Linked DNA regions of Arabidopsis thaliana. The protein of the gene in region 2 interacts with the protein of the main gene of each other region in a pairwise test. Each region holds a gene or a part of one and is shown on either strand. Other genes may lie near its edges.

Region 1 (4,028 bases), on a different chromosome or scaffold from region 2:
AACGGATCCTTTACAATGAATGCAATCATCGAAAAAAAACCATAAAAATATTCTTAAAAAAATTATACACTATGAAAACTGTGATGTCTCATCTCTTTCAAGGGTTTAGGCTTAAAAGCTTCCCTTTTCTCTTATACACTGTCGTTAGTTTTAAATCTCATTACTTATCATCAATCTGTTCAAACCCTATCTACTTTTAACATAGAAAAAGATTCCTTTCCTTCCCTCTCTACCCTTCTCTCTCCATCTCTTACACTATTTACACATCAACAATTTGTTAAGTAGCAATTGAATATGAGAGAGAGAGATATAGGGAGAGAGATTGTGTGTAGAACTGCAAGTTAATAAAGAATGTGGGGGTAAAGAGTACACAGTAGATGAAGACAATGAGACTTAGTTTTCAAACTTCTTCTTTGCTTTGGCTTTTATTGGTCATATCAGACTCTTTATTTATAGATGATCTACTTAGCTCTCTGTGTTGATTCTTAGCTTTCAAAGGTAGCTTTTGGCCTCACCCTATATACTCTATACAGGTTACTGCACATATACATTGGTATGGACTTGCCACTAGTGCCAAACCTTTTGCACATTAATTTTCACATATATATAAGTAGATTTAGATGGTGTATATATAAGACAAAACAATAACTGAAAATCTTAGGACCAAGAATGAAGGCATAACCAAAGAAGGGGGGAACCACATTGTCAGTTTTTATGGAGTTTTTGGGGGACCATTAGTTTCGTTTCACTCTTTCTCTTTCACTTATTTAAGCTTAACTTTGACAAATACGTACCCCCACCTATATTACTACACGAAATTACAATATATTTATATATAAAATCTCATCAATTTCTTTTCAACTACATTTATGTTTCCATGTTTATAAAATTCAGTCAATTAAGACGGTGGTTTAAATGTTAAAGGCCACAAGTAGATTTATGTGAATGTTAAAAAGTCCCAAGTTTAGAAATTCCGTCAAATATAATTAATCCATGCAGATTTTGATTTACCATTTATTGGTTTACACTAGATTTTCAAAAGGAATATTTGGTGCATTCACACAAGGCTCAAGATTGTTTGTTTTTTCTTCAAAAAATATGATATTATCAAAACCTCTAATTTTGTAGCAAAATCAATTTTATTTAAATCTAAAACATGTATTGTCTTGGTTGGTTCACATCATCTTGCAAACTCTGTAACACTATAAATTGTTACAATTTGTATGTTTATCGAAAAAGCGCAACGATAATATTGACATAAACAAGTAGATTAGGTGTCATGATAGTATATATATTATAAAAAAACTAATACGAAAGAAAAAACAGTTTCCCGAAAATAAATTAAAAATTCCAAGTTTGACCCTTGGACACAACAAAATATATCAACCTATATTAATGTTAGAGAGATGATGGATGATGATTGATGATGTGCAAATGAGACAAAATTATATCACACTTTCCTTTTCAATCTTTAAATTCCAAAACAAAAGGTACTGTTGGGTTGCTCCCTTATTAGGTGAAAAAAACCTCACACAACACAGACAATTTCACTCTGTCTCTTTCACTACACCTCTATATCTCCCTCTAGATACATATCCCTATTTATATATGTATTGTTTCGAACACTGCGTGCTCTCACACTTTGTTACACCTCCAAAAGACAAAGTACATAGAAGAAGAAACTTCTTGTCACGCCTCTCTTACCCCTTCCCTTGTGGTCCAATAAAACCCTAATTTTCTTTTCTTTCTTTTATCCATTGTATTAGATCCTATATCTTTCTTCCTTATAGACCATCTCTCATGTCTTCTTATATATATTAAGATATTCACAAGAACTACAAAAGAAAGAAAGGAGATGGAGTGGTCAACAACGAGCAACGTAGAAAACGTGAGAGTAGCTTTCATGCCACCGCCATGGCCGGAGTCTAGTTCCTTTAACTCGCTCCACAGCTTCAACTTTGATCCTTACGCAGGTATATTCACACACCATCGTACCAAGTCTGCATATGTTACATGCTTTCGTTTTTTTTACTTTTAGATGTGTTTAATTCCATATTTGACGAATTCATGAACTTTAAAACCTTATTTATCCCACTTGCAAATGTTCTCAAGAAGTTTTTTTTTTTCTGTGAATGATGTAAAGAATTTCAAATATGACGTCCCTAAACTTCATTCCAAATGTCAACTAAAACGTTACTTTTCTGATGAGAAGCTAAGATTTTCTTATCTTCAGTCTACAATATCTATAAATAAAGTTTCTTACTTTTTTCTTGGGATCCTACAAAAACAATTTCTTGGGATCCAAATGCAAAAAGGTAAAACGTCACTTTTGAAAAGTTGAGATTCGTTTATGGTATAGTTCACTCTAAGAAAAATGGTTGCGGACATAATTTTATTCTTCTTATACTTTTGGAAGTTTTTTTTTTTTTTTTTTTTTTTTCGTATAATGATTATATTGTTGCGCTTCTATGTTTAAATATTTCCTTTTATCCTTTCGGGGCGTTTGCTAAAATGTTTAACAGCAGGAAATTCATATACGCCTGGCGATACACAAACCGGACCGGTTATCTCTGTACCGGAATCAGAAAAGATCATGAATGCGTACCGATTTCCGAACAACAACAATGAGATGATAAAAAAGAAGAGACTAACGAGTGGACAATTAGCTTCACTTGAGCGAAGTTTTCAAGAAGAGATCAAATTAGATTCAGACAGGAAGGTGAAGCTGTCGAGAGAGCTCGGTCTGCAGCCACGTCAGATAGCAGTTTGGTTCCAAAACCGCCGTGCACGGTGGAAGGCGAAGCAGCTTGAGCAGTTGTACGACTCGCTTAGACAAGAGTACGACGTCGTTTCTAGGGAGAAACAAATGTTACACGATGAGGTTTGTGTATTATATTGCACAAAATTAAAATCATGGGATCTAATTACATATTATCGTTTTCTTAATTTATCCCTTAAAGTCTTGATTCTATCAGATTGCCCCCCTTAAAAAATTGGATTGGTGGTGCAGGTGAAGAAGCTGAGAGCTTTACTAAGAGACCAGGGTTTGATCAAGAAGCAAATCTCTGCCGGGACCATCAAAGTTTCCGGTGAGGAAGACACGGTGGAGATTTCATCGGTGGTGGTAGCTCATCCAAGAACGGAGAATATGAACGCAAATCAAATCACCGGAGGGAATCAAGTTTACGGTCAATACAACAATCCGATGCTGGTTGCTTCCTCTGGCTGGCCGTCATACCCCTGATAGATGTTGCTGATCTCAGAGAGAGGGAAAGAGAATGAGAGAACGAGAGAAAGAGAGAGAGAGAGATTGTGTCAAATAGAGCTTTAGACTAGGACTTTAGTAGTGTTATAGACTAAGACAAGCTTTCTCTCATTGTACGATCTTAAAACATAAATGGCACGTTCTTGGATGCGAGATTGAGTCTGAAAATTGTTGAGTTGGTTTTGTTGAACAACTATACTATGAACACTCAGAATTGGCGAATGTCCGAAACAAAACTAGCTATAAACCAAAATAATGACGAGAGTAAACGAGATTGTACAAATCTTGACACTGATGCTCAGCATTTTCCGCTTCCCTTCACCGAACTTGAGACCTCTTGACGCAAAAAAAAGCTGCTTAGGCTTTGTGTGTGTGTGTGTGTGTGTGTGTGTTGTAGCTTGGTAAAAAGCTAATCTTTATATGTACATGACTGTCTCCAGGTAAGCTTTGATTGAAGAAGGCTTTAGTTGTTAAATATTTAAGAACTTTACATTTCGAATCAGAGATCATAAAAATTGTAACCTTGACAGTATTCCAATAACTGTCTCATATTGATAAAACATCAGACGCAAAAGCCATAAAGTGATCAGAAGTAGTACGAAGCTGCCACTCCATTGTTTATATTTGGAACCGTCGTTGCTAGTTTGTTTGGGCCTAGTCAGGAGTTATTTTGGGCCTAACTAAGAGTCAGTGAATCTGAGCTTAAAGTTTGGTAAGATGTGTAACTTGTAATGGGCCAATCAAATTTTGAACCAATTTTAGT
Region 2 (3,529 bases):
TAGTATCTTCGTCTTCTTGGTCTCTTCTATACCCTCATCATCTAGGAAATTCTCAACAAGTTTCTCTTCCGAAGGGTCTCTGAATTCCGGTTATAATTATTTTTGCCATGAAGCAACATATCAGCGGAAGGAAAGCAATCTTCAGCATTCATAGTTAAGTAGTTTTTATGTTTATATCCACACCAAGTTCCACTTAGTAGAGCCTAGCAATCCTAAGGTAAGCAAATCTGACAAGGAATTCTCACAAGCTTTACCTAATGGCATTCGCAAACAAAACACTTCCAAGTTTCTTTATTCATCCAGTTTAGATAAAACAAAGTTAAAAGCAGGGAACTTAGAGAGTTTCATGAGAAAAGTAAACACTTTTGTTTCCTGGAAGTGTGATCAAGAATGTTGGAAGGGACATTACTAGTCTATACTCAAGCGGTTCAAAAGAAAAGAAAACTTAGAGAAACAAACCTTATGTACTTGTAATCACCTGATAAGAGAGAGGGCAAGAGATACGAATTATGATCAACCTGTGGACTAGAACCACATTACTAAAACAGAAATGAAAATAAAACCAAGTACCTATATCATGGAGAAGAGCTGCAAGCTCCACCTGCAAAGTATCAACAGAAATGGTTCACTCTAAAGTAAAAGAGCTGAAATTTGACAATAAACAGCTATAGCTAACTAGAAGAACTAACTAGAAGAAGGTTCATCAGGCTCAGCTGAACTAGAACTTTGAGATTTAGGGATTTTTCAAACTCACAATTTCCATGGAGTCAGAATTGGAAGAGAGACCTTCCTCGCGAGCAATGGAGAGAGCAAGGTCTCGGACCCTCCACACGTGCCAGGCGTCATGAGAAGCATCGTTTCCTTTCATCGCCTTCTCCACCAGCTCCTCCGCCTTCCTCATCGTCTTCGCCGCCATCTATCTCTCTCTCTCTCTCAACTGCTCAGTTTCGAAGATTGGAGAGATTTTGATTTTGCAATTTCAGCGTCGGAAGCTCTGTTTTAAAATTGATTCAAGTTTGCCGTCTCGGCTCGACGTTGACCACCGGAGTCAAAGAGAAATTCGGGGAAGGAATTTACTCATTTTACCTTTTTACCCTTACGTATGAAAGAATTTATTTATTTATGTTTTTTTAAAAAATATTTAAATTTACAGAGATATTTTCACATATTATTGTAGATTAAACTACACAAACTTTGCCACTTTCTGTTAATTATTTTAAAAATCTCTGTACTGATTGTTATAGAAAACCTATTCTTTACATTAATCGCTGGCTATATAGTACTGATTTGTCAAGTTGAAAGGTCGATTTATATAAACTTATGACTTTTGGATACATTTTTCAAAACAAATTTGATCCATTGAAATGGAGATTGTCTTTGGTGTTTTCCCTAGTAAGATTTCAAGGTTTATCTTTGTCCCCGAACCTTTTCAATTGCATTGGTTATGAAGTGGTTTATCTGCTTTGGTGTTTATAAATATTCGGGATTTTAGTTGTTTCTAGAGAGGTAGTTCAATAATTGATTATTTTCCAAGTTTCTGTTCTTAAACTCTTTTTTTTTTTTTTTTTTTTTTTGTTCTATGGAATAGATTGTAATCAAGTAACAAGGATGTCATCAAATCACTTCTTGGCCACGAATGAGATACTTAATTAATTTGAATATGTGATCAATTTGTCACTTAGACATTTTACCGTGATATTTGGAATTCTTAAATATCATATGTGTAATTTGAATATGTGATCACTTCTTGGCAAGAAGACGTCATATACTCATATGTTTTTCTTCTGCTTGGCATGACATAATTGTTCTACATGCTACGTTTGTATATGTGTACGTGATAGTAAAAAGAGATTCGTGTATATTTAGGTAGACTATGCATATATTATATAAATATAATGTGTATCACAAATTCACAATCGATTATTCAATAAACGACTAAAATGGAAAGTAGTATCTCGGATTTTATATTATTTCTATAACTTTTGTATAAGACAACACATGTCTTACATTTTTACGAGAAGCTATCTTTGATTCATTGAATCATTCCGAAAAATATTAATTAATTGGAGGTGCATTTAATACAACATTCCATAAACGTACGAAGAAAAGTAAGACAAATTAATTCCTTTATTATTACATAATCATGAACGACTATAAATCCCTCGACCAAGGAAAAACCTAATGATATTTTCATCTCTCCCCTCTCGGTTAGTCATGAAAGATTTGTTCATGGAAGGAGAAAGAGAAACTTCATCGATGACTTGCTTGACGCCCAAGGATTCTGTTCAAAGCCCTAACATGTTGGTTAGACAACCAAAAAAGGAGACAACAACACAAACCCCTAAAACGACACGAGGAAGACAGAAGATAGAGATCAAGAAAATCGAGGAAGAGACCAAGAGACAAGTAACGTTCTCGAAACGCCGTCGTGGGCTGTTCAAGAAATCCGCTGAATTGAGCGTTCTCACGGGCGCAAAAATCGCCGTCATAACGTTCTCTAAATGCGATAGGATCTACAGATTTGGCCATGTAGACGCATTGATAGACAAGTATCTTCGTAAGAGTCCGGTGAAGTTGGAGGGATATTCCGGTGATAACGCGGCGGATGAGGAAAGTAGGAGACCGTGGTGGGAGCGTCCGGTGGAGAGTGTGCCAGAAGAGGAGCTTGAGGAGTACATGGCAGCATTGAGTATGTTGAGAGAAAATATAGGGAAAAAGATTGTGGCGATGGGTAACGATCGGACGGTTGATATGGTTCCGGCATGGCCAATCAATGTGATGGGATGGAAACCAACGATGGATATGCAAAAATTGGAAAATCTGACGGATGGGGTTAATCGATGCCGTGTAGGTCAAAACGGTGATTGATTAGTCCAGTCGTGAAGTATTCCTCTAATGAATTTCTAAAATATTTTATTTAGTTTTGTTAAGTTTAATTATATGATTTTATGCTATTGATCATCAGATTGTTTCATCTCTTGTATACTTCATACTTTGGAAATTCAGTTGTTTGGATTTTTAATCTTTGAACCATACATATTACATAATGTAGAACAGTATTCTATCAGTTAAACCAGCTTTCAATTTTTTTTAAGATTTGACCTGCACATGTACCATATTTATATACCACATGAAGTATTTTTGGCAGATTGAAACTGCATTTTCTCTTGGTCGTTTTCTTATTTTATGTAAGGCGTACAAGAAAAAGCAAATAACGAAGGAAACAAGTGATTCTTACAATTAAGAACAAACGGGAAAGGTTGGAATGCTGGTTCCTTAAAACAAGGAAACCAAGTCACTCTTATTTATTTGCACGACACAAATTGACACAGAATAATAACATAGACTAAGTCTTAGCTTAATCCCTAAACATGCAATTAGGTTTTCTCTTTCACGTGTTTGACCAGCCGACTCTCTCAGGCCTCAACACATCCAGTCTCATCATTGACCAATGTTGATAATTTCTCCACGGACAGCATACTCATATTTGAGAACCTGTGTGATCATTTATATCCCCACAAATAAAAAT

What was found. The genes of interacting proteins can lie anywhere in the genome.
Region 1: the proteins of AT1G17310 (region 2) and HB51 interact in a two-hybrid assay, tested with the Arabidopsis thaliana proteins (one large-scale study listed by BioGRID).

What each region holds. Positions count from the first base shown.
Region 1 is NC_003076.8:1,003,130-1,007,157, forward strand, and holds HB51 (homeobox 51), read left to right. Parts: upstream 1-1,652; 5' UTR 1,653-1,855; coding exon 1,856-1,973; intron 1,974-2,525; coding exon 2,526-2,881; coding exon of another isoform or gene 2,882-2,989; exon of another isoform or gene 2,990-3,010; coding exon 3,011-3,244; 3' UTR 3,245-3,502; downstream 3,503-4,028. UniProt on the Arabidopsis thaliana protein: Putative transcription factor.
Region 2 is NC_003070.9:5,927,353-5,930,881, reverse strand, and holds AT1G17310 (MADS-box transcription factor family protein), read left to right. Parts: upstream 1-2,048; 5' UTR 2,049-2,181; coding exon 2,182-2,868; 3' UTR 2,869-2,957; downstream 2,958-3,529. Other genes in the region: AT1G17330 (Metal-dependent phosphohydrolase), read right to left, coding at 1-79, 460-478, 571-601, 755-916; AT1G17300 (uncharacterized protein), read right to left, coding at 3,442-3,495.